Anolis sagrei: one gene and its partner. The protein of the gene in region 2 interacts with the protein of the main gene of each other region in a biochemical or structural test. Links are inferred from orthologs where the notes say so. Each region holds a gene or a part of one and is shown on either strand. Other genes may lie near its edges. The genes, in order: OCRL and RAB5A.

The links.
Region 1: the proteins of RAB5A (region 2) and OCRL form a complex in vitro, tested with the Homo sapiens proteins (2 studies listed by BioGRID and IntAct, with this or other methods). The link is inferred for Anolis sagrei from reciprocal best matches to the Homo sapiens genes RAB5A and OCRL.

What each region holds. Positions count from the first base shown.
Region 1 is NC_090030.1:10,859,891-10,876,025, forward strand, and holds the start of OCRL (inositol polyphosphate 5-phosphatase OCRL), read right to left. Parts: upstream 5,852-16,135; 5' UTR 5,747-5,851; coding exon 5,711-5,746; intron 2,978-5,710; coding exon 2,907-2,977; intron 1-2,906. UniProt on the Homo sapiens protein: Catalyzes the hydrolysis of the 5-position phosphate of phosphatidylinositol 4,5-bisphosphate (PtdIns(4,5)P2) and phosphatidylinositol-3,4,5-bisphosphate (PtdIns(3,4,5)P3), with the greatest catalytic activity towards PtdIns(4,5)P2.
Region 2 is NC_090026.1:87,272,178-87,287,411, forward strand, and holds the start of RAB5A (ras-related protein Rab-5A), read right to left. Parts: upstream 5,959-15,234; 5' UTR 5,743-5,958; intron 1-5,742. UniProt on the Homo sapiens protein: The small GTPases Rab are key regulators of intracellular membrane trafficking, from the formation of transport vesicles to their fusion with membranes.

The DNA of each region.
Region 1 (16,135 bases), on a different chromosome or scaffold from region 2:
GAGCAGTAGTTACCAAACTGTGTTCTGCGGAACCCTAGGATTCCACAAAATCTTGTTTAAAAATCAGTCTGTGACAGAGTTTGAAGATCTCATTAAAATTCATTGTACCTCTGCTTTAAAAATGAAATTTGAATTTGTGCCACTGAATGACTAAGAGACAAATAGCCCATCAGTAGCTGACAAGGCTATCCATATCCACTGATTGATGCGGACTGGGCTTTTTAGTTTATGCTTACCCAAAAAACAAATATAATAGTAAGCTGGATAATGGTTTCCCTTGATACTAAGTCTAGTCGTGGCTGACTCTGGGGGTGGTGGTGGTGCTCATCTCAATTTCTAAGCCGAAGAGCCGGTGTTGTCTGTAGACACCTCCAAACTCATGTGGCCAGCATGACTGCATGGAGCACCATTACATTTCTGCTGAAGCGGTACCAGAATGCTGAGTCTCAACAGTACCTATTTACTTACTCACATTTGCATGTTTTCGAACTGCTAGATTGGCAGAACCTGAAGCTGGATACCACCCTGGATTTATGCATTCAGCCGTCAGACATAAAGCCCCATTTGAAAACTATCCCAAGTACAGAAATAAAACGATTTTGCTCATCGCTTTAGGTGTAAATCCAATATTTTCTTGTGCCACAATAAATGCTTTTGGTTATATTCAATATTTTCTTGTACCAAAGTTAAAAAAATGCTGTTATATTTAAAATGTTGTATTTTTTATTTCTAAACGGACTATGATATACAAAACACTCAGGCAATAGAAGTAGATGAAAGAAGGAAGAACTTTGTGGGTTCACAGTATTTAGGGACAAAGTTAGGGTTTTGCATGAAAATAAATTATTCTAAAGGGTTCCTTGAATGAAAAAGTTTGGGAACCACTGATCTAGATAGGAGAATTATAGCAACTTAACCATTTTAACTACAACAGTTCACTGCTATGGAATAACAGGAACTGTTAGCTTGTGGGGCCACAGTAGTGCAATGGGTTAAACCGCCAGCTGTAGAAAATCTGCTGACCAGAAGGCTGGCAGTTTGAAGCCACGAGTTGGGGCAAGCTTCCGCTGTTAGACCTAGCTTCTGCCAACCTAGCAGTTCGAAAACCTGTAATGCGAGTAGATCAATAGGCAGGAAGGTAAAAAGTTGCCCCGTGCAGACATGCCGGCAAAACACGACTGGAGATGGAACAACAACACCTCCAGGCACAAGAGATGAAAGGGGAAGGCCTTTACCTTGGTTTGCGTATTGTACGTTATTGTTGTTCACTGGGCAAAAAAAATTTAATGTCTGCCTTATATCTGTATACTGTAATCTACTGAGTCCCTCCAGGGAGATAAAGCAGAATATAAATAAATAATATCATTATTATTCTCTGCCAAATAATGCTTATGACTCAACAAACTATCACTCCCATGTTTCCACAGCATTGAAACATGGCCCTTGCTTGAGCAAAACACAGCTTCCAAAGGATAACATGAGATCACAATTCAAGAAATGGGCGGGAGTAATGTAAACATCACAACACAAGGAAATGTCTTTGCGATGATATAATTGTATGTTGCTACCTCCAAAAGTGACACATAACAACAAATAATGTTTCAGCCAACTTCCTCCTGGAAGAAAGAGTATGATGTATATATGATAGTTGACTTTTGGTCAAGCAAGGGCCACACACTGGATATATAGGGAGCTGTCCAGGCCCTGTCCAGCATGCCATTATTTCAAACCTTCTCAGACCAAGCAAGAGGGAAAATAGAGAGCTGTGGGAAGACTTATTCTTCCAGCTCCGACAATATATGCAAGTGTGTGTGTGGTGACATTATCTGTTATAGAACTCCAGTATGCTGATGACAACGTCATCTGTGTGCATTCAAAAGAAGACCTACAAGCCACTCAACACCTTTGTAGAAGCATACGAGAAGCTCGGCCTGTCATTAAACATCAAGAAAACCAAAGTGCTCTTCCAGCAGTCACCAGCCAATCCCTCTCCAATGCCAAAAATACAGCTTAATGGTGTAACATTAGAAAACGTTGACCATATCTGCTACCTTGGCAGCCATCTCTCCACAAAAGTCAACATTGACACTGAAATTCACCACCGCCTGAGCTCTGCAAGTGCAGCATTTTCTCGAATGAAGCAGAGAGTGTTTGAGGATCGGGACATCCATAGAGATGCCAAGGTGCTTGTTTATAAAGCTATTGTCTCCCAACCCTGCTATACACCTGCGAGACATGAACAGTCTACAGACATCACATGCAACTCCTGGAAAGATTCCACCAGTGCTGCCTCCGAAAAATCCTGCAAATCTCTTGGGAAGACAAACGGACAAATGTCAGCGTGCTGGAAGAAGCAAAGACCACTAGCATTGAAGCGATGGTCCTCTGCCATCAACTCCACTGGACCGGCCATGTTGTCCGGATGCCCAACCACCGCCTCCCAAAGCAGTTGCTCTACTCTGAACTCAAGATTGGAAAATGGAATGTTGGAGGACAGGAAAGGAGATTTAAAGACGGGCTCAAAGCCAACCTTACAAACTCTGGCATAGACACTGAGAACTGGGAAGCCCTGGCCCTTGTACGCTCCAGTTGGAGGTCAGCTGTGACCAGCAGTGCTGTAGAATTCGAAGAGGCACGAATGGAGGGTAAAAGAGGGAAACGTGCCAAGAGGAAGGCGAGTCAAGCCAACCCTGACCAGGACTGCCTTCCACCTGGAAACTTATGCCCTCACTGCGGGAGAAGATGCAGATCAAAAATAGGGCTCCACAGTCACCTATGGACCCACCACCAGGATACTACACTGGGAGGACCATCAACCTCGGACTAAGAGGGATCGGCTAAGTAAGTAAGTAAGTAAGTAAGTAAGGTGACATTATATGTTTCACACTCAAATGGCAACTACTCACTTGTATTCAGAACCAAGCCTTGCCAGACTCAGCTCACATGGCACTCGCCGGCCAGCAGTCACTTCCAGACCCTGAACAACAGCTAAGGAAAAGGAGAGGAGGGGAAAAAAACAGCTCCCAGCCCCCTCCTCCCAAAACAAGCACACATTTTCCTAGCATTGTTGGAAATTCAGTTCAGAATGATACGGCTCTCTCTGCAGCTGCAAAGTTTCAACTAGGCTTTCCTCCTGTATCAAAAACTGCCCCCACCTCCACCCCCCCCCCCCCCAATTTAGGAAAGAGCAAAGATTACAGCTTTGCTCTGAACTGGTTGGAAAGCAAATCCTTCCCATACTCCAGATCCACCAGAGGTAGCAAGCTTGACCTGCTCTGCAGCTGAATATGTAAAAATGCTCCTCATTATCATGATGGGAATAGCAAATTGCCCAGCCAAACACCATCAGGATTTCCATAAAACAGGTTACAGACAAAGCCAAGGAAAATACTCCCACAAGCTAATCTCGTCAAGCCTGCTTTTGAGCATTTAACTAAGATCTGATATACAGAATCAACATTAGCACAAGAACTGCATTTTCTGGATCAGGACAGTGGTCCCCTTTTTCTTGCTCACAAAGGCAACAACGTTCCTCTGTTTGGTAGTTAAAGTACAGTCATAGAATCCTAGATTTGGAAGAGATTTGGAAAATTACTGCTAATGTAATAAAAAATATAACAGAATGGATAATAATAATAATAATAATAATAATAAATAGATTAATACACGGCATAATAAAATAAGTACTGGAAACAATAAAGTAATAAAAGGCATAATAAAATGAATACTATCAAATTGACAAAAAGCATAATAAAAATAATAGTAAAGTAATAAAAAGAATAATAAAAATAAATAATACCAAAGTAACAAAAGCATAACAAAATAAATAATAATAAAGCAATAAAAGGCATAATAAATAATAATAAAATAATAAAAGGCATAAAATAATAATAAAAAGTAATACAAGGCGGAGTAAAATGCACAATAACCAAGTAATACAAGGCAAACAAAATAAGTAAAAATAAAGCAACAATAGAAATAATATAATGAATAATATCAAAGTAATAAAAGGCATAATATAAATAAAATAAATAATAAAAAATGAATAATATTTTTTGTGTGTCAGAAGCTACTTAAGAAACTGCAAGTCGCTTCTGGTGTGAGAGAATTGGCTGTCTGCAAGGACATTGCCCAGGGGATGCCCGGATGTTTTACCATCCTTGTGGGAGGCTTCTCTCATGTTCCCCGCATGGGGAGCTGGACCTGACAGAGGGAGCTCATCCGCACTCTCCTCAGATTCAAACCTACAGCCTGTCAGTATTAGGTTAAAATGTGTAATAATTAAAACTCATAATACGAATAACAAAGTAATACAAGGCATAATAAAATCAACAATAAAGAAATAAAAGGGATATGAAAATCTCTCTCTATATAAATGCTCTGGTCATAATGAGTACCTTAAAAACAAAAGAACCAATGAGCGAAATCACACCAAATTTGGCAACAAAACATCTCACAACACAAGGAGTGACCATCACTCAAAATATTATGATTTTTCCATTTGGGAGTTGTAGTTGCTGGGATTTATAGTTCACCTACAATCAAAGAGCATTCTGAACTCCACCAACGATGGAATTGAACCAAACTTGGTACACAGAACTCCCATGACCAACAGAAAATACTGAAAGTGTTTGGTGGGCATTGACCTTCAGTTTTGGAATTGTAGTTCACCTCCATCCAGAAAACACTGTGGACTCAAACAATGATGGATCTGGATCAAACTTGACAGGAATACTCAATATGCCCAAATGTGAACACAGATGGAGTTTGGGGGAAATAGACCTTGACATTTAGGTGTTGTAGTTACTAGGATCTATAGCTCACCTACAATAAAAGAGCATTCTGAACCCCACCAACGATGGAATTGGGCCAAACATCTCACACAGAACCCCCATGACCAACAGAAAATACTGTGTTTTCTGGTGGTCTTGGGTGATCCTTCTGACACCCCCCTGGTGACCCCCCCTCCCCGGGGACTTGACTTTCCAGGTTCAGAAATGCTGCCTTAAGGCCATCCAGTCCAACTCTCTTCACCAAGGCAAGAAAACATAATCAAAGCCCTCCTGACAAAATGCCATCCAGCCATTCACACACACACACATATATGTATATGACAGATGTAGTATCAAAGATTTGAAAGGGACCCTTAAAGAAGGACTGTGATATGTTGCATGTTCCAGAGTAGGCAAACCAGAAAATCTCCACATCAACACTGACAAAGAAACAGCAAGAAATACTGTTTACCCACAAGCATAAAGACATTGCATATATTAGAAACCAAAACTTTCTCATTACTTTATTTTCCAGATCTACTGAGTGGGCCACAGCAACGCCTGGCAGGGGACCGCTAGTAAATAATAAAATATATAACAATAAAGTAATACAAGGCGTTATAAAGTAAATAATAGTAAAATAAATAATAAAGTAATACAAGGCATAATCAAAATAATAGTAAAATAATACTAGGCATAATAAAATAAATAGTAGGAAAATAATAAAAGACATAATAAAATAAATAATAACAAAGTAATACAAGGCATAAGAAGCTGTCAGAGAAGGATCAGTTACAGATACACATCTCCCCCCCCCCCACCCGCATTGTTTCCCATGGCAACAGAAGCACCAAACAAGCCAGTCCCCACCTCGTTCCAGTTTAACCCCCCAATACTGTCCCCCCCAATCCCCTTTTGCTCCAGGTCAGGAAGGATACAGCAAGGCCGCTCTTCCCGGCCGCGGAGGGCTCCATGGGCCCAGCCAGGCTTCGAGGCCTTAGCAGCTGGAGGCAAGGCGGGCACTGCGGGTTCCTGGCTGGGCCTGGCTTGCCCTCGGGGCGCGCTCCCGACTCCCCGGCCGCGCGCGCGCGCGAGGAAAAAGGAAACGGAAGAGCCTGACAGGAGCAGAGAGAGAAGATGCGACACTGCCCCCTGCCGGCCGGAGGGAAACTGTGTCTAGCACTGCAGAAGCCTATTGGAGAATACAGTTTTCTATCTATCTATCTATCTATCTATCTATCTATCTATCTATCTATCTATCTATCTATCTATCTATCTATCTATCTATCTATCTATCTATCTATCTATCTATCTATCTATCTATCTATCTTTTCTATCTATCTCTCTATCTCTCTATCCATCCATCCATCCATCCATCCATCTATCTATCTATCCATCTATCTCTCTATCTATCTATCTCTCTATCTCTCTATCCATCCATCCATCTATCTATCTATCTATCTATCTATCTATCTATCTATCTATCTATACATCTATCTCTCTATCTATCTCTCTCTCTCTCTATCTATCTATCCATCCATCCATCTCTCTCTCTCTCTCTCTCTATCTATCTCTCTATCTCTCTATCCATCCATCCATCCATCCATCCATCTATCTATCTATCCATCTATCTCTCTCTCTCTCTCTCTCTCTATCTATCCATCTATCTCTCTATCTATCTATCTAGATGCCTTGTATTACTTTACTATTATTCATTTTATTTGGCCTTTTATTATTTGGCTACTATTTATTTTATTATGTTTTGTATTATTTTACTATTATTTTTTATTATGCCTTGTATTACTTTATTAAATATTTTACTGTTACTTGTTTTATAATGCCTTGTATTACTTTGTTGTTATTTATTTTATTATTTCCTTTCAGATCCCTTTTATTATTATTTCTTTTAACCTGCCTTTTGTTGCTTTATTACCTGCGTGACCGTATCGCTGTCTACGAACCCACACGCTCCCTACGGTCATCTGGAGAGGCCCTGCTCGTGATCCCGCCCGCGTCGCTAGCGCGCTTGGTGGGGACGCGAGACAGGGCCTTTTCTGTGGTGGCCCCCCGTCTCTGGAACGCCCTCCCGAAGGATCTCAGACAGGCCCCTACATTGGCAGTCTTCAGGAAGGAATTGAAAACTTGGCTGTTCTGATGTGCCTTCTCAGATTAGGAACCTCCAGTACCAAATCCTAGAAGCACCTTAGTAGAACCAAGATCACTGCACACTGCACACTGCACTTATATTTAATCCCATATCCCTCCTGCCACATCAGCACTTTAACCCTGTACCCCTGTACCCAGCCGGCCCAGTTTTAATAGTGTCTCGTCATATTGTTACTGTTATTGTTTTCCTGCTTAACTGTTTTAATTTGCTTGGTATTGTATTGTTGTATTGTGTTTTTGGGGCTTCGGCCTGTGTAAGCTGCATCGAGTCCCTTGGGAGATGCTAGTGGGGTACAAATAAAGTTATAATAATAATAATAATAATAATAATAATAATAATAATATCTATTTTATTATGCCTTTTATTACTTCATTGCTACTATCATCTATCTATCTATCTATCTATCTATCTATCTATCTGTCAAGATGCCTTGTATTACTTTACTATTATTCATTTTATTATGCCTTTTATTATTTGGCTACTATTTATTTTATTATGTTTTGTATTATTTTACTATTATTTTTATTATGCCTTTTATTACTTTATTATTTATTTTACTATTATTTATTTTATAATGCCTTGTATTACTTTATTGTTATTTATTTTATTATTTATTTTCCTATCCCTTTTATTACTTTATTATTATTTATTTTAATCTGCCTTTTATTGCTTTATTATTAGTATCTATGTTATTATGCCTTTTATTACTTTGTTGTTACTTATTTTATCTATCTATCTATCTATCTAAATAAATATGTAATGCTCGTTTGTGTTTTTTGCTTTTTAAGTCCCTTCTGCTGTGTTTTTCATTGTTTTTATTCGTCCAGTGGTTTTTGAGTTATGTTAATCCCACAAACTAGTATTACATTTTTATTTATATAGAAGACTAGCCATCTCCTGTCATGCGTTGTTGTGGCCCAGTATATGTGCCTTGTGTGTGTACATGAAAAACACAGCAGAAGAGACTTAAAAAGCAAAAATAAAAATGCATTACAATGCATGCACAAAACCATATATATACACACATATATACACAAATACATAAATGTACACCTACACATATAAACACATGTACACACACAAAGCACATATACACAGATTGGGCCACAGCAACGCGCGGCAGGGGATGGCTAGACTTCTATATAAATAAAAATGTAATATTAGTTTGTGGGATTAACATAACTCAAAACCCACTGGACGAATTGGCACCAAATTTGATACGAATGCTTTTGATACGAAATAATAATAACTGTTTTAACATGATGAGATGTATTCCACACTGGGCATGCGAACTCAGCAGCAGAGTAGCCATGCGCAAAGGCAGATGTCTTCACTGTGTCTGGTTGTGATCCCCAGGTTGTGCCAGTCAGCTTTCGTATGATATTATTTCAAGCACCCACTTTTTGCTTGCTAGCCAAGCAGTGCTTCTTGTAAGTCCAGAGTGACTCCCGGGTATTTGGGTGTGCTGCAATGCTCCAGTGGGATTCCTTCTCAGGTCATCCTCAGAGTCCAAGATGCTTGTCTGTTCTTAAGGTGAAAAGCACACGTCTGTGTTTTAGATGGATTAGGAATCCTCTGGTTTTCCCTGTAATAGGCAGTAAGAGCACCTAAAGCTTGAGCGGTGATGGCAAGATCGTCAGCATAGAAGAAACTCTATGTCCCTTCTGGCATTTATCCATTTCTTGCTGTATAATGTTTATCTTTTTATATAATACTAGGCATCCCCTGCCACACATTGCTGTGGCCCAGTCTGGTGATCTGGAAAATAAAGTAATGAGAAAGTGTTGGTTTCTAATATACGCAATGTCTTTCTGCTTGTGGGTAAACAGTATTTCTTGCTGTTTCTTTGTCAGTGTTGATGATTGGTTTGCCTACTCTGGAACATGCAACATATAATTGTCCTTCTTTAGGGATCCCTTTCAAATCTATGATACTATATCTCTCCATGTGTGAATCATATATATCTATCAATATCTATGACTAGATGGCTCTTTGTCAGGAGGGCTTTGATTACGTTTTCTTGCCCTAGTGAAGGGAGTTGGACTGGATGGCCTTAAGTATGGGGGTTATGTGTGGGAAGTTTGCCCCAACTCTGTCGTTGGTGGGGTTCAGCATGCTCTTTGATTGTAGGCGAACTATAAATCCCAGTAACCACAACTCCCAAATGTCAAGGTCTATTTTCCCCAAACTCCATCTGTGTTCATATTTGGGCATATGGAACATTTGTGCCAAAATCCATCATTGTTTGAGTCCATAGTGCTCTCTGGATGTAGGTGAACTACAACTTCCAAACTCAAGGTCAATGCCCACCAAACCCTTCTAGTGTTTTCTGTTGGTCATGGGAGTCCTCTGTGCCATGTTTGGTTAAATTCCATCATTGGTGGAGTACAGAATGCTCTTTGATTGTAAGTAAACTATAAATCCCAGCAACTACAACTCCCAAATGACAAAAATATTTTTTTGTGTGATGGTCACTCCTTGGGTTAGTAGGTATCTTGTGTCCAAATTTGGCAGCAATTCGTCCAGTGGTTTTTGAGTTATGTTAATCCCACAAACAAACATTACGTTTTTATTTATATAGACTAACCGTACCCTGCCAGTCTGTGTATATGTTTTGTGTGTGTGTATGTATGTGTATATATGTGGTTTTGCACACGTGTTGTAATGTATTTTTTATTTTTTGGCTTTTAAAGTTTCTTCCGTGGTGTTTCCCAGTGTTTTTATGAGTCATGGTCATTTGTTGGCCTGAGAGGTGTCTTGTGTCCAAATTTGGTGTCGGTTCGTCCAGTGGTTTTTGAGTTATGTTAATCCCACAAATGAACATTACATTTTTATTTATATAGATCTCTATTTCCAAAGTCTGGAGTGTATAAACTGTACTTTTATTCTACCTTATTCTTAAAATAGAAACTGTCTGCAACTTTGTTTATTAATTATAGTTGGCATAAATGCTCACCAGCCTGTTCCGTCTCAATTTATTGAGGTCTAAGTTCCACGTCATCTGGATTTCAAATGCCTGTGTAGATGGACCTTGAAATAGTATTCTCAGCCATTCCTTCCACTTGCATTTTGCTTTCAAATATAACCCAGGGAACGATCACAGACATCTCAACATTACGCAACATTTCAGGCTGTCTCCCTATGCTCGTCTCTTACAGAAGCAAAGCTCAGGATCCCTAATTCAAAGTGGATGGGATGGCACCTTGGCTTGCATGCAAAGGCACATCTGTCATGCCAGAGTAGCAACGTTTTCTTCTTTTACCACCTTTAAACTTTACAGGAGATGCGATGAATGCCTGACGAATCCTCCAGAGGCGGCTGCCAGGGTTAACATTTTTAATTTCCTGTTTAATTAGAGCTGGTGATGGGTAAACCAGGCGCTCTATCACCAGTGGCGGCGTGTGCTGTAAATTTCGGCTTCATCTCCTCGCTCGAATGACCCTGGAGATTACAACGACATGAATATGAATGAAGTTACTTTATATTTCATCAAGGAGAGAAGCTATCTCTCAAACCAGCATTGCTTGGAGTTTGTTCCTTTGCCTGGAGTTGGGCTTTCTTGAAACCCTTGTGCATTGCGGAAGTTTCCAGGGGATTTTGCACCCAAAAATGTGATTGACTCTGCCACTCTTTTGTGACCCAAGAAGAGTGCATGCATCACATGGCTACAGCTGTCAATTGTGGGTAAAGATCCATAAGAGAAGATTGACATGTTTGCTGTGAGCGAGTCCTTGAGTCCACTTATAAGATCTGCTTGAGGGAAAGCCAACAATGGATTGAGATAGTGTCGTCCTTTGGAACTACAAATCCCATGAGCCAAAGTGAGCTTTCCTAGTGAAGAGGGATGATGAGAATTGGACTGCAAAAGCAAAAGGAACGCTACACTTTACCTGTCCTTGGACTTGAGAAGCTTGACTACCTCAACAACCAGAAAAGTCTGCCATTGACAAAAGCACAGGTATCATCTACTATGGTATTAAGTGTTTAAGCTTGGTGAGAATGATCTTCCCGAGGTTTAAAATTCAGTAGGCAGAGCTGCCTATGGATGCTGTAAAATGGCATTCCCAAAGGACAAGTGATAACGTTGGAGTGGGACTTCAGACCCTTCTACACTGCCATATAAAATCCAAATTATCTGCTTTGAACTTGATTATGGGGCCGTGGTTGTGCAAAAGGGTTACACCCTTGTGCTCCCGAACTGCTGACCTGAAAATTAGCTGAATTGCTGATCTGAAGGTCAGCAGTTCGAATCCGTGAGATGGGGTGAGCTCCTGTCTGTCAGCCCTAGTTCCTGCCAACTTAGCAGTTCGAAAACATACAAATGTGAGTAGATAAATAGGTACTGCTTTGGCAGGAAAAGGCAAAGAGACGCTCCAAGCAATCTTGCCGGACACATGACCAAGAGGTGAAAACGCAAGCTCCTCAGCTTGAAAATGGAGAAAAGCACCTCCCCAGAGCCAGAGATGAGCACCGCCTCCGTAAGCTGGAAATGAAAGGAGAAGCCTTGCCTTTGTTTGTGTTTGTGTGTCTCATGTGATTTTAAAGGCACTGAATGTTTGTAATCCACTCTGAGTCTCTTAGAGGACAAGGGAGTAATATAAATTATTATTATTATTATTATTATTATTATTATTATTATTATTATTAGAAACACAACAAGATGAGTCAACAGCAGACAAGATCACTCTGCTGGCTGTTGTATCAGATCACACGTCGGACACTTCCCAAGTGTCTAGGAAGGTGTGATGTATCAGTGAATAATGTGTGCAGATCCCAGTAAGGTGGCCTTTTGCAGCTGGCAGATGGTAATTTTGTCAGCGCCAATTGTGTTTAAGTGCAGGCCAAGGTCTTTAGACACTGCACCCAGTATGCCGCTCACCACTGGGACCACATGTACTGGCTTGTGCCAGAGTCTTTGCAGTTCAATCTTTAAATCCTCGTATTGTGTCAGCTTTTCCAGTTGTTTCTCTTCAAACCTGCTGTTATCTGGGATTGCAACACCGACAATCCATACTTTGTTTTTTAACACAATCGTGAGGTCAGGAGTATTGTGCTCCAAAACTCTGTCAGTCTGAATTCGGAAGTCCCAAAGTAGTTTGACGTGTTCATTCTCTGTAACTTTTTCTGGCTTGTGATCCCACCAGTTCTTTGTTGCAGGAAGATGGTATTTGTGGCACAAGTTCCAATGAATCATCTGAGCAACGGTGTTATGCCTCTGCTTGTAGTCTGTCTGTGCAATTTTCTTGCAGCAGCTGAGGATATGATCTATTGTTTCATCTGCTTCCTTGCAGAGTCGTCTATTATTATTATTATTATTATTATTATTATTATGTGGCAGTGTAGACTCGTATAATCCAGTTCAAATCAGATAATGTGGGTTATATGATGTCATAATCTGTGTTATATGGCAGTGTGGAAGGGACCTTAGTTGCCAGTTGTGGGCATTGTAAAGGAAGGAAATCCTTATATACCAGGAACTCTCTTCTCGTCATTACAGTTAGCTTGCAGAAGATGGCATCATTTTCATGCGTATCCCTGCCACAATGGGCCGCATAAGTGTAACTTATCCCCACATTTCCTGACCGCTTCAGTTGATTTTTGCCCAGCACTATGTCAAAAGATTGGAAATAGAAGCAGTGATCTGTGATGGGATCTCTCTACTTTAGCATTATTCAAAGAAGCAGCTAGAAATGTCAGTTCTGAGTGAGACCATAAAGTTGAGAAGAGGAGTAAACATTAAATTTAAAAGCATTTTAAACACAAAAAAATAGGGAACAGTGCAGAATCCTTATTTAACAAACCCATATGGCAGATCAAAGGCCAAAGTCCATTTAAGGCCCTTTCTACACTGCCATATAATCCAGATTATCAGAGCAGAAAACCCACATTATATGCTTTGAACTGAATTATATGAGTCTACACTGTCATATAATCCAGTTCAAAGCGGAAAATCTGGATTTTATATGGCAGTGTCAAAGGGGCCTAAAGAAATCTTTCTCAGAGAGAGGATGGACTTGTGAAAGAGATATGTCTCTAATCCACACAAACAATGCACGTTGTTTGATGAGCTTTACATTACAGATTTCACCATTCCTATATAGCAATTAGGGTCTGTAGAAGTGCAGCAGGTTAAACCACTAAGCTGTAGAGCTTGCTGACCAGAAGGTTGTCAATTTGAATCCAGAGAGTGGGGTGAGCTCCCGCTGTTAGCCCCAGCTTCTGCCAACCTAGCAGTTCAAAAACATGCAAATGTGAGTAGATCGATAAGTACTGCCTTGGTGGAAAGGTAACAGCGTTCCATGCAGTTATGTTCGCCACATAACCTAGGAGGTGTCTACGGACAACGCCGGCTCTTCGGCTTAGAAATGGAGCTGAGCACCAGCCCCCCTGAGTTGGAATCGACTAGATTTAATGTCAAGTGGAAAATTTTACCTTTACTTACCTATATAGCAATTGTTTTGTGGAGGTTTATAGTCAACCATCTGGAAATTTCCAAATTGCAAAATATATAAAAAGTCAGTTTAAATAAGCCTTTGGCAAACTGGGGCTACTATATGTCAATGATGTCAGCCATTGTAACATTGTCCTAATTTTCCCCCCTCAAAGCTATCTAATGATTTAACACTTTATTTAATGGATTACACGCCTCCCCTTATAATGATTGTGTAAACTGCATTAGACTGCCTAATCTTGACAAATTAGGCTTTTTGCAATGATGCTCCAAGCCCTGCAAAAACGTAAGTCCCATGCTCAACGGTGCTGAGAGCTGCTTAGTAGTCCAACATAAGTAATAGTGGCACCATGGGTGCACCTGCACTGTAGAATTAATGCAGTTTAATATCACTTTTAACTGCCATGGCTCAATTCTATGGAATGATGAGAGTTGTACACTGGTGCCTCAGTAAGCTACACATCCCAGGATTCCATAACATTGAGCCATAGCAATTAAAATGATGCCAAATAGCATTAATTCTGCAATGCCCCCATTCACCTTTTAGCATAAGTAACTTTTCTAAGAAGTTTGCAATTTCTGCTCCGACTATGATTGGTTCCATCGAAGTTCTTTCTCAAAGGCCAGGAATGGGTCTTTTCTGAACGGAGCTCTGGTTTGCTCTTGGCTGTCTTTCTTTCTTATTCATCCAGCATCTTTTTGTCTTTTAATTACATCTCACTAAAACCGCCTGCTCCAGATACTTAAAAGAGGTGGGATCCAATTAAATTTATGGAGCTTTAACACGGCTTTTTTGTGTCAGCCAATGGTTCAGGCTGGACAGGGAGTTGGCTTTTGTGGATATGCTTAAGGACTTTTATGGCAAGTGTCTAGACACGGCCTTGGCTCATAAATGTCTCTAATGTTCGGTATGAGAGAAGCATCTGCCGAGACACTCTGGAACAGGTGCGCCATGCATTCTGAGTTTGCACAAAATGAGTTTTCTTTGCCATGCATACACAAACACTCCCCCTTACACAATCCAGGCAATAGAATTACAGGGCAGGGAGTATCTCCAAAGTCTGCTAGCATATCTATGGATGCGTCAGCCCCAACACAGGGAAAACATCAAATACATACAAAAAGAGGATGAAGAAATAGACAGATGCATAATGAGATGCCAGGAGGACCAGCTGCTCTATTCACTTTGGTGCAAAATGCTCCCCAACCACTTCTACAATTAACCAAGGCTCTTGGCTCAAGATGTAATGTTCACCATGAGGTTTTGATCACCATCAACCTGCCTCGTAAACATCTACAAGGACAGTGAGGTATAGAAAAGGCTTGTCACAATAAAGTGTCCAATAATGGCATCCTACATGGTGCCTTTGGATGAACCAATAGATTAGTCTCAAAAGTTAACTAGTTAAGCAGAAACCAGGCACCCTCAGGATGGGTGAGACTACAACTTCAACCAGCCTAATTATTATATTGGAGAGGCTTAGCAGAAGTATAGTCTAACATACTTTGAGCAGCTGCAGGTTGGAGGAATCTGTATTGTTTTAAGAGATAAATTTGTCATTATGTATTATCAGAGTGTGGAGACATCTCTGTCTCCTTCTCTTCTACCTTCTCCATCTCTGTCTCCATTTCCTTCTCCATCTCAGTTTCTTTCTCCTTCTCCTTCAACTTCTCAATCACCATCTCCATCTCCTTCCCTTTCTCCTCCACCTTCACCTTCAACTTCAACTTCTCAATCTCTGTCTCCATCTCCTTCTCCTTCACCTTCACCGTCTCCGTCTCAGTTTCTTTCTCCTTCTCCTTCAACTTCTCCATCTCCATCTCCTTCCCTTTCTCCTCCATCTTTGTCTCCTTCTCCGTCTCCTTCTCCTTCTCCTTCACCTTCTCAGTCTCAGTTTCTTTCTCCTCCTTCTCCTTCTCCTTCAACTTCTCCATCTCCTTCCCTTTCTTCTCCACCTTCATCTTCAACTTCTTCATCTCTGTCTCCTTCTCCATCTCCTTCACCTTCAAGATTCAAAAGGGTGCCCCATTGAGGAAGGGGGGGGGACTCGTAGTTAGTCACCCAGGATCAATAATGTGATCAAATCTCTAGGAACTGTTAAAGGGCTTTCACCTAATTTTGTATTTTCACCTAATTTTGTTAAAGGGCTTTCACCTAATCTATCTTAACTTAACTCACAAGGTTGTTGGTAGAAGAAATTGAGGCAGGAGAATGTTGGATGCAACATGGATCCCATTCTTGTTGCAAAAAACCATATGCATCCAATGCTTCCCTCATTCTGGAAACCAGAGCCTTGTCTTTCCCAAGGAGACAGCCAACTAGGGAAACGAACATGCTGTTGAGTACAGCAGGATCCTTAATACTATTTTAAGAGTTGATGTGGAAAAGATCCAGAAAAGAAAGGAATGAAGATCTAGTAGTAGCATTAGCATGAAGATGGGGATTAAATGAAGGCATCCTCCCACCCATAAGGAAATCTGGAACTGCCCGTGGGAATGGAATAGTAAAAAGCAGCCACTATTAGTGGAAATATTACGCAGCATGTTATATCTAGGGCTTTGACGGGCTACCATGTTTAAACTGGTATGGTAATCCGTGTGGTGGAGGAGATAATATTTTAGATGGAGAAAGAAGCCTGGTTTTACCTTAAGCCTTCTCTTTAACGGTAAAGGCGCCATTGGAAAATATGCTTCTAGAATGTATTTATGAGCAGGATGTGCAGCTGGGTTTCAAGGAGGCGAGCG
Region 2 (15,234 bases):
CTCCAGAGGCATAGAGCAGAGTGCTATCAATTTGCTGATGATATCTAAATATTTTTCTCAATTACTTCAAAAACAGCCTAAGCTAAGGATAGTGCACCTCCTCTGAATGAATGCCTGGAGGAGGTAATGGGCTGGATGAGGAAAAAAACGAAACAAATGTTGCTAAACCAGATAAAACAGAGACACAGACTTTAAAGGTCCTAATCTCAAATTGAACACATGTCAACCATAATGCTGTGTTCACAGCTTGAGAGTGCTCCTGGATCTGATTCTCCAAATGTCAGCCCAGGTAGATGTCAGGAGTTCTTATAACCAGCTTTTACTGATATTCCAACTGTGCCCCTTCCTAAAATTAGAAGACCTAAAGATGGTAGTGCACACATTGGCAACCTCAAGTTTGGACTTCTGTGATGCTCTGTACATTAGACTACCTCTCTACCATGCAGAGTTAGTTCAAAACATGTCTGTCAGATTGACTTTGAGTACATCTAGGAGTGAGCATATTACACCTATACTAAAATCATTCCACTGCTGGCCAATTGGTTCCTGGGAAAATACAAAGTGTTGGTTTTGATGTTTAAAGCCTACATTGTTTGGGTCCAGGCTACCTACTGGATTGCCTTCTTTTGTACAATTCACCACAGACACTTAGATCCTCAGGGGGATATTTACACCAACCAGCCAGAACCTGAATGAGAACTGTCACCCTGAGAACAATTTCATCAGCTGCTCCAAGACTGTTGGAGGACCTGTCAAAAGTGATTTGATAGCAAAACAAGATCTCAAAATTTAAGACGTAATTAAAGACCTATCTCTTCTGGTAGGCCTACTGATTCAATTGTAATCAATCTGAAATTTATATTTTGTTAGTATTGGTATTTTAATCTTTGTTCTTTTTTTTACTATATCTAGTTTATGTTGTATCTATGTACTTTAACAATGTTGTACCCCACCTTTAGTAATGAGGGAGTAAATAGCCAATACAATTTCTTATTATTCCAGATGTTTATAGATTATAACCATCATCACACTAGAGAAAAAATCCACTTAAAATCTGGTTTCTGCCTCCTGCAGAATTCTGGGGTTTGTAGTTTAGGGAGGAGCCTTTAACAGCTGCACTAAACTACAAACCCAAGAATTCTGCAGGAGGCAGAAACTAGATTTTAAGTGGATTTTTTCTCTAGTGTGATGAAGTGGCATGTCTCTCGGCCACTCTGTACAGCACAGTTGTTGACAAAGGATTCTGGCATCTGTAGATCTGGATTTTGAAAACTAAGGATTCTCCTTGATCCAGATGAACCAATTAGCCTGTTCACAAAAAAATAAAGCAGCAACAGAATTACTACCACTTACACCTCCTTTAAGTGCAGTCCCTCTGCAAAAAGAAAAGAGTTGTGTCTGAAACTTGAACTTTCTGGTATAGGTTCTAGGATACCCAATATACTTTTTAGTAATTTAAGAACAAAATACAAGATTCTTGGTTGCTTTAGACCAATGGTTCCCAACCTATGGGTTGCTATCCCAAATGGGGTCACAAGTAGTTTTTAATAAGGTGAGCTATGAAAATTTTAAAAAGGCAAAACAATAAATAATGTCATTGTCTCCTGCACTGAGATTTGTTTGCGTAAACATGTAATGATCTTTCATTTGTCAGGTTAGCCTGTTGTGAGGTCCAGATTCCTATGTAATTAACACTATTTTGAATTCTATTATACTGAAAAATCATGCCACCATCTCCTCAAAGGGACTCGGGGCAGCTCACAAAAGCACTCAAAAGTGCAACACACATAAAACACAATAGTACATGAGCCTATAAGACAATAACAGTGTAAATTTACATAACAATTTTACATAAATATCATATAAGTGGCTGCGGATATAAAATAGGATATATTCAAGTATCAATCCCATAAAGTGCAAACAAAGTGAAACAAAATACCTCGAATTTAAGTTAAGATTCTAATCATGGTTGAAGGCCTGTTAGAAAAGCCATGTTTTCAGATTTCAACTTGGGAGCTAACCTAATCCCTTTCGGGAGGGCATTCCAAAGCCGGAGTACCACCACCAGGAAGGCTCCCCTTTTCATCCCCACCAATCGCGTTTGAGACGGAGGTGAGACCAAGGGGAGGGCCTCCCTGGTAGATATTAGAGCCCGTGCCAGTTCATGGAGGAGTTGCAGCCTTGAAGACAAGTTGCACTTGAAGCGTATAGGGCTTTATAGATAATAACCTGTACTTTGAATTGGGCCCAGAAACTTATTGGCAGCCACTGCTTTAATAGGGAGATCGTATGCTCCCTATGCCTAGTCCTAGTTAGCAATCTGACTGCCGACCTTTGCACTAACCGCAGTTTACAATCCGTCTTCAAAGGCAGCCCCACGTAGAGTGCACTGCAGTAGTCCATTCTAGATGTAACTAAGGTGTAGATCAGTGGCCAAGTCAGTCTTTTCGAGGTACGGTCACAGCTGGCGCACCAGTTTTAACTGTGCTTAGGCCCTACCAGTCACCGCCGACACCTTCAAGCATCAGCACTGAATCCAGAAGAACCCCCAGACTGCGGACCTGTGTCCTCAGGGGGAGTGTAACGCCATCAAGTTCAGACTGCCATCCTATAACCCAATTGTCCTCGTGACTGACTAGGAGAACCTGTCTTGTCTGGATTAAGCCTCAGCTTGTTGGCCCTCATTCAGTCCATCAGAGCTGCCAGGCACCAGTCCATGATCTGTGGAGATTCCTTGGAATGGGGTGGAAAAGAGCAGTAGAGTTGTGTGTCATCTGTGTAGAGATGACATTCAACTCCAAAATTCCAGATGACCTCGCCCAGCAGTTTCATGTAAATGTAGGAAAGCATGGGGGAAAGAATAGAACATTGCAGTAATACCTAGGTGGGGAAATGACAGCGATGGCAGCACTGGCAAGAGGTGGCAGTTGCCTTTCCCTTTTTGTGGAATGACTCGTGACTTATCCATGGGTCATATCGAAATCCATAATTCTGGTGCCAAACCTACCCTCAATTTATAACTGAGGTTGACTTATACATGAACATATACAGTACGTTCACGTGACTTACTGTTTTTATTTACAAGTGAAGTCATAGCCCGGGTGATAATGTCCTTATTGAACAAATTTGTTAAATTTAAATTACTGACTTAATGGTTTTAGCAGACTAATACATTAACCATATTTACTCAGAAATGTTAAGTTTCACTACAATTAAAATCATTTGATTTACAAGACAATGTGCATTCCAATTCACATCAGCTTTTGGATACTTTACAGATAATTGTTTATTCAACAGCAAATTATGTCATATATATGCATCATTTTTAGGAACAATATGACTGCTGGACAAAATCAAAGTAATAGACTAAAACCACAAAGTGGCTTTGAAAGGTAAAAAGTCCTATTTAATCAATTTTAACTAAGCAAATAGAATCTATAATACAGCACTGATGGATCAATTCAGGGAAATTCTGAAGTAATAGGGACTAAAAATTAATTCCTAAGTAGTTTTGCTTTTATTCAACTAATAAATGGCAGCAAATGTGTAAAAACAGAAATGAGCATATTTTAATTTTTTTTAAAAAAAAATCCGAACAAACCAAACACTTTAAGGAACAAAAATATAAATGTGAAAATCATATTTAGAAGATAAAAAACATCCAACATTGCCTTTTTGCATTTCTACAGATTTGAATGATGGACTATTTCAACTGTGTATGTGACCCTGTGAATTTCATAGGATTTTCCTAGGCAATGATTTTATTTGCTAGTTCCTTTCCTAAAATATTGCCTGTAGAACCTAGGTATTTGTTGTTGATCTCTCCTCCAAGTATGAAGTAGAGCTGTCCTTGCTCACCTTCTAACATAAGATACAAAGTGGAACTAGATCTGGTGTACAGCAAGATATAGATTTAACTCTGCCCTTGGAGGCATGAGTTCAGAAGTAGCAAAAAGTCATCCTACAATTTGGTACTCTCGATAAAGAAACACACTAGTTATAGAAGAGACAGTACAATCCAGAAGCAATGATAACCCTATGGCAGAATGCAATTACTTCATTTGTATACCACTTTTCTCACTCGTGGGGGACTCAAAGCGATTTACAACATATATACAGCAAAATTCAATGTCTCACATACATAAAAACCTAACATAAAACAGTAATAACATGCATAATTAATTTCTTTACATAATTAAATATAAAAACGCAATAACTTTTAAACATGGAGTTTAAAACATATTAATATTAAAATCACACAATCCAACAATCCTAGCCCATGGGCGATCCAAATATCCATATCTATTGCACATGACTCTGATCATTCCTCGTATTGCTTACTGCCTAAAAAACCACTGAAGAATGGGTTTTGATTCAAAGCTACCAATTAAACCTCATGAACTCTCTGAAAATGCATTTTTCATGTTCAGAGTTACAGTATGATGTCAACTCTTTTATACCAAATCCTGAAAGAATCCCTAGACCAGAGCTTTCCAAACTCTGAGTTGAGACACATTAGTGTGCCAGCTGCAGCATGTGGATGTGTTTGGTGAACGTAAGAAGAAACCTCTGAATCTATGTGACATGAGCAATAAATCATATATTTTTTAAACAAGAAATGACATGTTGTCATAAGATATGCTGCGTTCCCACACATTTCATAATTACAATGTATGCATGTGTCAATATCCCTTATCAGGGGTTTGCTAGTAAAACTGAATTATTTATTTATTTATTTATTTCGGTTGCTTCTACCCTGCCCTTCTCACCGCGGAGGGGACTCAGGGCAGCTTACAAAAGCAAGGCACAATTTGATGCCCGCATCACATAACAACAATAAGACAAATAACATCAGTTAACAGAAAACAACAATTCTAGCAATAACATCAATTAACAGAAAACAATAATTATTGTAAGGCAAAAACAACCATAAAAGCAATAAAACCAATACAAACCATTTCTCCTCATTACTGACAAGTCTCTAAAAAGTGTGGCACCAACATCAAAATGTTTGGAAAGCTCTGCTGTAAACTTTTACATTTAAACACAAGTCCTGCCTAAACACATGCCCTATTTCCACCGATGTTTCATTCCACGGAGCCTCACATGCCTTTCCTGGCCCTCGGTTTACAGAAGCCTAAAATAGGAGGCCTGAAAGGAAAGTGGATCTCTTGTCTCTGGGGTCTCCTGGGGCCCTTCCACACAGCCCTATAGCTCAGAATATCAAGGCAGAAAACCCCACAATATCTGCTTTGAACTAGGTTATCTGAGCCCACACTGCCATCTATTCCAGTTCAAAGCAGATAATGTGGGATTTTCTGCCTTGACATTCTGGGATATAAGGCTGTGTGGAAGGGCCCCCGGAAACTGACAGCCCCCTTTGACCTCCTTCTTTGGAGAAAGGAGAGTCAAGCTTAGGGAGGGTGAGAGGAAGGAAGGAAGGAAGGAGGAAATTGCCGCCGTCCCCTTCCTGGCCCTCGCCTGGGCCCCAAACCCAGGCTTCGCTGGCCCCCCTCAACCCAGCGGCGGCCCCGCCTCGCTCGCCGACACGGGAAGAAGAGGAAGTGGGAGAATTCGGGGCGCCATTTTGAGGGTGGAAAGGAAGCCGGCCCATGGCCCACTTAGCCGTGGCCGACGCCGCACCCTCCGCGGAAAAGAGCAGGCGGGAGCCGAGGGCCCCGCTCGCCCGCCCGCTTCCCAAAGGCCTATCCCAGTCCCCTCTCTCCCGCCTCCTCTCGATACCTGACTGCGAGGGGAAACGGCCACTTCCTCTCCCGGAAGGAGCGAAGAAAGAAGCCCCCGCGGCTCGTCTGCTCCGGTCGGGGAAGAGGGAGCGGGCCTTTGCCGAACCTCACGGGGGGGAGGGGGGAAAGAACGCGGCCTCCAACTTCCGTCTTTGCCTCCTCCTCCTCCTCTTCCCAGACCAAAACACAATCACGTCACTTCCGGCGCCGCCGCCTCTCGCCACGTCACCGTGCCCGCCTTCGAACACTTCCGCTTCGAACGCGGTCACGTGTCCTCAGGCCGTTGTTTGCCCGAAGGAGCGCCCGGCTCGCGCTACGGATTGTGGGATGGCTGGGCGGGGCCCAAAGGGAGGCAACGCTTGAGTCTGGAGTGCGGTCGCTTCCCGTCTCAACCTCTTCCCCCTCCCTTTGGGATTTCGGAGCCGGTCTCCTCTTAAAGGGCCCGCACTTCCGAGTGCCGGCCTTTGAAGTGCAGTCATTCCTCACCCGCGTCTACAGTGTAGAATTAAATGCAGTTTGATGCCGCTATAACTGCCATGGCTCAATGCTATGGAAATTATGGGAATTGCAGATTTACAAGGTCTCTAACTTTCTCCAAAGAGTAGAGACATCACACTAGCAACAAAGATCCGCATAGTCAAAGCCATGGTATTTATTTATTATTTCTTTATTTACGGCATTTATATGCCGCCCTTCTCATCCCGAAGGGGACTCAGAGCGGCTTACAAGGTATATATACATGCAATATATTATATTATTAGCATAGTACAATATCAGTATATATTACTATATTGCACTATACCATTATATTGTAATATTATTAATGTATTCCCTGTAGTAACCTACGGATGTGAGAGCTAGACCTTAGGGAAGGCTGAGCGAAGGAAGATTGATGCTTTCGAACTGTGGTGTTGGAGGAAAGTTTTGAGAGTGCCTTGGACTGCGAGAAGATCCAACCAGTCCATCCTCCAGGAAATAAAGCCCGACTGCTCATTGGAGGGAAGGATACTAGAGACAAAGTTGAAGTACTTTGGCACATCATGAGGAGACAGCAAAGCCTAGAGAAGACAATTATGATGGGGAAAATGGAAGGCAAAAGGAAGAGGGGCCGACCAAGGGCAAGATGGATGGATGGCATCCTTGAAGTGACTGGACTGACCTTGAAGGAGCTGGGGGTGGTGATGGCCGACAGGGAGCTATGGCGTGGGCTAGTCCATGAGGTCACGAAGAGTTGGAGACGACTGAACGAATGAACAACAAAGCTTTCTCCAAGGTGTACTGCTGCTTCGCTATTTATTTATTTATTTGCTAGCCGCCCCCAGCCATGCGTTGCTGTGGCCCAGTCTGTATGTGTTTTGTGTGTGTATGTGTGTGTGTGTGTGTGTGTGTATATATATATATATGAGAGATTAAAAGATGGGCTCAAAGCCAACCTTAAAAACTCTGGTATAGACACTGAGAACTGGGAAGCCCTGGCCCTTGAGCACCCCAGCTGGAGGTCAGCTGTGAACAGCAGTGCTGCAGAATTTGAAGAGGCACAAATGGAGGGCAAAAGAGAAAAACGTGCCAAGAGGAAGGCGCGTCAAGCCAACCCCGACTGGGACCACCTCCCACCTGGAAACCGATGCCCTCACTGCGGGAGAAGATGCAGATCAACAATAGGGCTCCACAGCCACCTACGAATCCACCCCCCTCCGGTTACCACTCTTGGAGGACCACCACCCTCGGACTACGAGGGATCGCCTAACACAACACTGTATATATCTGTGTTTGTATATATATATGTGTGGTTTTGTGCATGTGTTGTAATGCAATTTTTTTGGGGGGGGGTTGGCTTTTTAAATCCCTTCTGCTGTGTTTTTCAGTGTTTTTATGAGTGATGGTCACTTGCTGGCCTGATAGGTATATTGTGTCCAAATTTGGTGTCAATTGGTCCCGTGGTTTTTGAGTTATGTTAATCCTACAAACGAACATTACATTTTTATTTTTCGGACATTTATAAACCGTCCTATCTCGATCTCCACAGAGGGACTCTGGGCAGCTGACTACAAAAGCATAAATATACATCTTCGGTAAAAACAGTATAAAACATAAAAACATCATAAAAAACAGTAAAACATTAGAACAATAATCCACCACAGTCCATTAAACCATAGCTCAACTATCACGTCGGTCTAGTCTGCAAAGGCCTGATCAGATAGCAAGGATTTCACCTTTCTCCGAAAGGTCAGGAGGAAAGGAGCGGATCTGATTTCACTTGGGAGGGAATTCCATAGCCGAGGGGCCACCACAGAGAAGGCCCTGTCTCTTGTCCCCACCAAACACGATTGCAATGGTGGGGGAACAGCAAGCAGGGCCTCCCCGGACAATCTTAAGGTCCTAGGTGGTTCGTAGCAGGAGATATGTTCGGACAGGTAAACTGGGCCAGAACCTTTAAGGGCTTTATAGGCCAACGCCAGCACTAAACCGCAATGGCTTCATATGGAGGCAGCATTCAAAGACATCCATGAGGGACTGATGCTGGATCCACTGCATTAGATTGTCAGTTTAAGTCCAAATTGATTCAAAGTGCTGACCCTTCCACTCAGCCATATAACCCAGAATATCAAGGCAGATGATCCACATTATCTGGTTTGAACTGGATTAGAGTCGACCTTGCCATATAATCCTTTTCATTGTGGATTTTATACAGCTGTGTAGAAGTGGGCATTAGATGATACAGGAGGGTTCTTCCTGACAGGCCCTATATCCCAGGATTTTATCCTAGGTTTTCTGCTTTAAACTGGATTATATGAGTGCACTGCCAGATAATCTGGGAAAAACAGAAAACCTGGGATCAGATCCTGGGATAGGGGGCCATTCCACACAGCCCTATATTCCAGAATATCAAGGCAGGAAATCCCAAAACATCTGCTTTGAACTGGGTTATCTGAGTCCACACAGCCATATATTCCAGTTCAAAGCAGATAATGAGGGATTTTATTCAGCTGTGTGGAAGAGGCCTTGGTCTACTTTCTCAGATGCATAGGATGAAGTATCTTTTATCATAGATTACAATATATTTCTTCCAGGGCCCTTCCACACAGCCCTATAACCCAGAATATCAAGGTGGAAAATCCCACATTAACTGAGTGTGTATTTAAATAACCCAGGGCCTGTCCAGACAAGGCCTTTATTGCAAGAACTCCCGAAATAAAGGCGGGGCTGTTCAGACAATGATCTGGACAGTCCCACATTATTTCACTACAAACCAGGAAAATCCTGTTTTGTAATGAATTAATTTGATAGTGGATTTATTCGCTCCCCTCTCCCTTTCTTGGCGCGCTATTTCTATGTGCCGGGAGAGCCCGCCGGGGCTTCAAATGGAGGGCACTTAAGTTTTTCTTAGTTTTCTAAGGAGTCTGGGGGCTTGGTGGAGGGAGGTAGGGCCTCCACATGTTCTCTCGGGCTAGTCCTGAGATAGCGTGTGAACAACCAACTCCAGAAAGTGCGTTCTTTCGGGGGGGGGGGGGGTTATGGACAGGCCCCCAGAAATATCAGTGTTATTTTAACGCGGATGCTTCTGGAACAAGGACCTGTCTGGAATCTGTTGTTTTAGAAAATGTGTTCTAATCCATAAAGGCAAGTGCTAAATATTTCCTTGATGTAAATGCTGGTGTTAGTTTCAACTAAGTAGATCCATTGGGACAGTGAGACAAGTATGAAGTCAAGTACTGATGTAACTTTTAGAAGTTGATTAAAAGAGTCTACTTCATTTTAGGTCAGAAATTACATTTGGTCTTTCATGTTATGGGCCATTGTTAAGATCATACATATCTTCTGATAGTTCCAGTAATTTTGACATGTGTAAAGTTGTTGACCTATTTATTTTTCTGCTTTTGAAAAGTGAAGACATCTTTAAGTACCTCAAAACAGTGTGTGTGTATGTGTATCTATCTAAATGAAAATGTCATGTTTATTTGTGGGATTAACATAACTCAAAAACCACTGGGCAAATTGATACCAAATTTGGACACAACACACCTATCAGGCCAACAAGTGACCATCACTCATAAAAACACTGGAAAATACAATGGAAGAGACTTGAAAATCCAAAAAAGAAAAAAAATGCATTACAACACATGCGTATAACCACATATATACACATATACACAAATATATAAACACATACACACACACACAAAACACATATACACAGACTGGGCCACAGCAGGGGTTAGCTAGTATATGTGTGTGTGTATACATATCTTATAACTAGATTCAATGTATATTTCAACTAATGTATTCAATGAGATACTTATAATTGATGTTATTTTTCTAACTTCTGACATCTATACCATCTCTGTCATCTTGTTTTTAAATTGCATGTATCTCAATCAATCATAGAATCATAGAGTTGGAAGAGAACACAAGGGACATCCAGTCCAACTCCCATGAAATATAATTTCCATGAAAGGCATATTTTATCTATATGCATTACAAATAATCTCAAATAATACCGCCATTTAACTTAAATTCTTACATTTGGTCCTGCCACTGATTTTAATTGCGTCATTGTGTGTTTTTAATGTTATTGCTTTGTTTTTGAGTTATTTTGCTGTTGTTGTTATTGTTTTTACTATTGTATTTGGGCTCAGCCTCTTGTAAGCCGCACCGAGTCCTTCGGGAGATGGTAGCGGGGTACAAATAAAGGTTTATTATTATTATTATTATTATTATTATTATTTGCATTTTGCATTGTTACAATCCAATTTGTCCTTGGATGTTGGTATATACACAGCATACTAGATATTTTCTTCACTGTTTGTTTCATAGCAACACATTAAATTCCCAATACTGATTGCAGAGGAGAGGAAGAAATTAATAACAAACTAGTTAACTCAGTGATATACTTCCTGTAAGCAATTAACATAGCAATTAACAACCAACATAGTGACGCATAGCCTTTGCGGTAACATTCGGTTGGAATTGTGCCATTTATATTACTGTAGTAACTATAATTAAAATGATATCATCTTCGAATAAAAATATACCCATGGCAGTTTTTTAAAGTAAACATGTCGAGCCTAAACTGAAGGTGACTTTGTAACACTTTGACATGGAAGCAAATGTTGTTATATTTATCAAGATCGAGCAAGAAGATGGAAAGAAAGAAAAGCTAACAACTCAGTGCAAAAGATAAAGAGCTGAGCAATGGACTAGATATGAGATGGCTGTGGAAGTAGCTTGGCAGGCAAAACAGGAATTACCTGCTCAACACTGCACTATCACATTCATCAATGCATTATTATTATTATTAGAAACAATGTGTAGAGTAAACCAGATGAAGCAGAAGCTTTACATTGTGAAAAAAATAATGACTTAATGACACCTTAGTTCCTTGATTGGATAATGTTATTTAGAAATATTTAATGCTGCTTAATGGAGAATAAATTGTTGTTATACATTTATAGTCAGTCACACATTCTGTGGATTAGAATATAGGTGTGGATTCCCACTTACTAACCTACTGTGGAATGATGAGTGTCAGAAGATGGGGCCATCTTCGTTCCTCTTCATGGTTCCAGGCTTTGGCCTGGAATCTAGTCCTGAGCTGCGTTTACATGGTAGAATGAATATGGTTCCACATAAAATAAACTGCCATACCTCAATGCTCTGGAATCATGGAGTTGTAGTTTTTCTACCAAAGAATGTTGGCACTTCACCACATTTCAGCTTTCATGATTCTACAGAATTGAGCCATGGCACTTAAAGTGATGTGAAACTGCATTAATTCTATAGTGTAGTCCTCTTCCTCTTTTCCTGCACAGACCCCAAGGCTTCAAGATCCAACTGGCACTTTTAAATGCCTGTCAAGAATGTATGGCTTCAGTATGACTTACACACTGGCTATGTGAAACATGTGAAATTCACTCAGGGCTCTTCTACACAAGCCCTAAAACCTGAGAGAAACTGGGATAAGGTGTGTGTGTGTTAGATGACGCTTCCCCAAATTTTGCCCTGAATCGCATCATCGGCTGAAAAACATGGGTTAAGAATTAGATGCGCTTAAAATCCGAGATTGCTCCCAAAATGTGCATATTCCCATTACTATATATCCCTGCACTCAAGTGAAACATGGAATTTCATTGCGAACTGTTCCAGCACATGTGAACTGTTCCGGCACATGTGCACATTTTAAAATCCTGAAACAGCTGATGAGGGCTGTAAGCAGATGGAGCCATGGACACACAGTGGCTAAATGGAAAGCGATTCCCATGAGAACTCTCTGCAACCATTCTTTTGTTCTCATATTTATGATATTAAACAGAGTTTGAATTTACACAGCGCTTTTTGAAACAAAAGTTTCTCATGAGGCCCCAAAAACATTTATATACATATTATGTTATATTCTATATTATATATCATGTGTATATATCAGGCATGGACAAACTTTTTGATATATTGTGTTTTAAATTTTGACAGATGGGTCAGGTCAGTGGCAAATGGATAGAAAGTGTTTGTGTGATAAAGATGGCATGGATATTTAATATATGAAAAAAAATTAATTGTCTCTAATTTTAAGAGCCACCTGCTATACCCTATACAGAATATGGAAAAAGTACAAATCAAGACCTCCGTGGACATTTACCAAAGAAGCCCCCCCCCCCATTGGACAGAAATGGGGGGAGGCCAATGGCCCATCTATAAACAGGTATTGCTGTATTTACTCTAATGCAATGCACATCTTTTTTGGCTTAATTGTTTAGCCAAAATAGAGATGCACATTACATTTGATGGCGCATTACAGCTGCATGCCAAAAGGTGCCTGTGTCCCTCCATCAGGCTGAACCTAGCAAACTCGCCAGTCTCAACCTGATGGTGGAGCAGCTGCTTCCCTCCCCAAGACCGTTCTCCTTCACCTCTCAGCTGAGAGACGGAGGAATGCCTCCCCCTTCTCTCCCCAAGACCATTTTCCTTCACCTCTCAGCTGAGAGACAGAGGAATAGCCTCATTTTCCTCCCCAAGTCCATTCTTCTTTGCCTCTCAGCTGGCATTGCCTTCATAAAGTCGAGGCTGGTCAACGTTCTAGCCTCTACCTGGCAGAAGATAACTGCTTTTCCTTCCTTCTTTAGCAAATTCTTCTTCTTCTTTTTTTTTTTTTACAACGCAGTAGACTCGAGTAAATACAATAATTGGACAACTATAAACATAGGGACTGCTTAGCTATGAACTTTGGATCAGTGGGACGATCTTTAAAAAATAAAATAAAATGGAATATACAGTGATGTGCTTCCCAGTGCAGTGCTACTCAAACTAATGGTCCCTGGAAAAAAATAATTTTCTAACTCACGGCCCTTCCACACAGCCATATAACCTAGAATATCAAGGCAGATAATCCACAATATCTGTTTTGAACCGGGATATCTGAATCCACACTGCCATATAACCCAGTTCAAAGCAGATAATGTGGAATTTTATACAGCTGTGTGGAAGGGGCCTGAGAAGCACTGTGCCAATGTATAATATTGGTTAATATATTTTCATCTGAATTCAAAACATTTTTAGATATAGATTTGAATGATCTGACGTCAGCTTCTTTACTATTCCTTTTCCCAATTAGAACCTCACTTTCAATGCCCGTAGCTCGTAAAGTCCAACTTGGCCATGGTGGTCCATGCCCTAGTTATCTCCAGATTGGATTATTGCAATGCAGTCTCTGTGGGGCTGCCCCTGAAGACGGTCCGGAAATTGCAATTGGTGCAAAGATCAGTGGCCAGATTACTAACTGGAGCAAACTCCAGGGAGCGGTAAATCCTTCTGTTCAAACAGCTCCACTGGCTACCAATGAGTTTCCGGTCCCAATTCAAGGTGCAGGTGATTACCTACAAAGCCCTAAATGGTTCAGGCCCTGTCTATCTTTGCAACTGCATCTTCCCCTACGAACTAACCTGAGCCCTAAGATCATCCAGGGAGGCCCTTCTCTCACTTCCGCCTGTCTCAAGCGCGATTGGTGGGGACGAGGAAGAGGGCCTTCTCAGTGGTTCCTCTGTAACTCTCTTCCTATGGAGATCAGACTGGCACCTAATCTGTCCACCTTTCGCAAGAACCTAAAAACATGGATGTTCCACTGTGCCTTTGACTAGGCAGTTCCAAAGAATTGGCCCAATGTTACCTAAGTTTCAGCACTTTAGCATGGCCCTCCGCTCTACAATCCTGACATTTTCATGCCCGTGAACATTATCCTCCCAGCCCTGCCTTTCTGAATTTTGCACTTTCCCTCAGCTCTATCTAGGAATTTCCACAAACCCAGAGCCCTTTGAACTCAGCACTTTTATTGTTCTGTATGGTACTGTTTTTATGATGTTATGTTTTATTGTGATATGTTTTCATTTGGTTTTGTTTTGATGCTATCTTATTGTGTTATGTTTTTAACTTTGTGCTCCCTGGGCTTGTCCCTTTATAAGCTGCTCCGAGTCCCTTAGGAGAGATGTAGGCAGGGTATAAAAATAACGTTATTATTATTATTAACAATATTTTCTAATACAAGCTGAGCATCTGTGATCTGGAATTCTGAACTCCAAAATAGTGCATAGAGATTACTGAGATAGTGGCACCCTTGTTTTCTGATAGTTCAATGCACACAGATTTTGTTTCATGCATAGAATTATTAAAACTATTGTGTATAAAATCACCTTCAGACTAAGTGTATATGATGCATATGAAACAAATGAATTTCATGTTTAGACTTGAATTTCATCTCCCAGATAGATTATTCTGTACATATGTGCTAATAGAGCCCAAAATCAGGGGGAATCCTAAATCCCAAACACTTTTGATCCCATTTCATTTCAGATAATGGATTACTCAACCTTACTTGTTTCATTTATGTTCAGTATTTTCATGAGAAGTTTGCAGAAAATGAGGCCATCTAGTGGAGAGAAGATATGTTGAAACATAACATAGGTCCAGACAAGCTGAAACGCAAAGTAGATTATGTAGTGTGATAGAGCTCTAAGCTCAGTATTACCTATGAAAAAAATGTTTTGGCAGAAGTTGTGGAATGTTATTTCCCCATGTGGCAATTTTCCGAGACCAAACCTATAGGGAAGAAGTTATTTAGTGCGCATCGTTGTAGTAAGCAATTCGGTCCAAAATCAGTGGGGGTTATCTTATACTGAGTTGTAAGAATATAATAAGATCTCCTAGTCCCTTTTTTGTGAACTACCACCCTCCAAAATCAAAACTGGGGTTTTGTTCTTGGAGACCTATACAAGTTTCAGTTGGTACCCTGCCTGAAATTTCCAGCCTGAAATCAAGTCTTTCTCTCAGCCCGAAATTAGAAGTGAATGTCCAGTGATTTTCTGTTTCAAACTCTACATTTTGATTCTGCATAGATTTTAGGGAGACAAGGTACAATTCGTGTGGATACAGGATGCAAATTGGGCTACCAGTCCTACAAAAGCTGATTACCCTTTAGGAAAAGACTTTACATTATTCATTTTTTTTT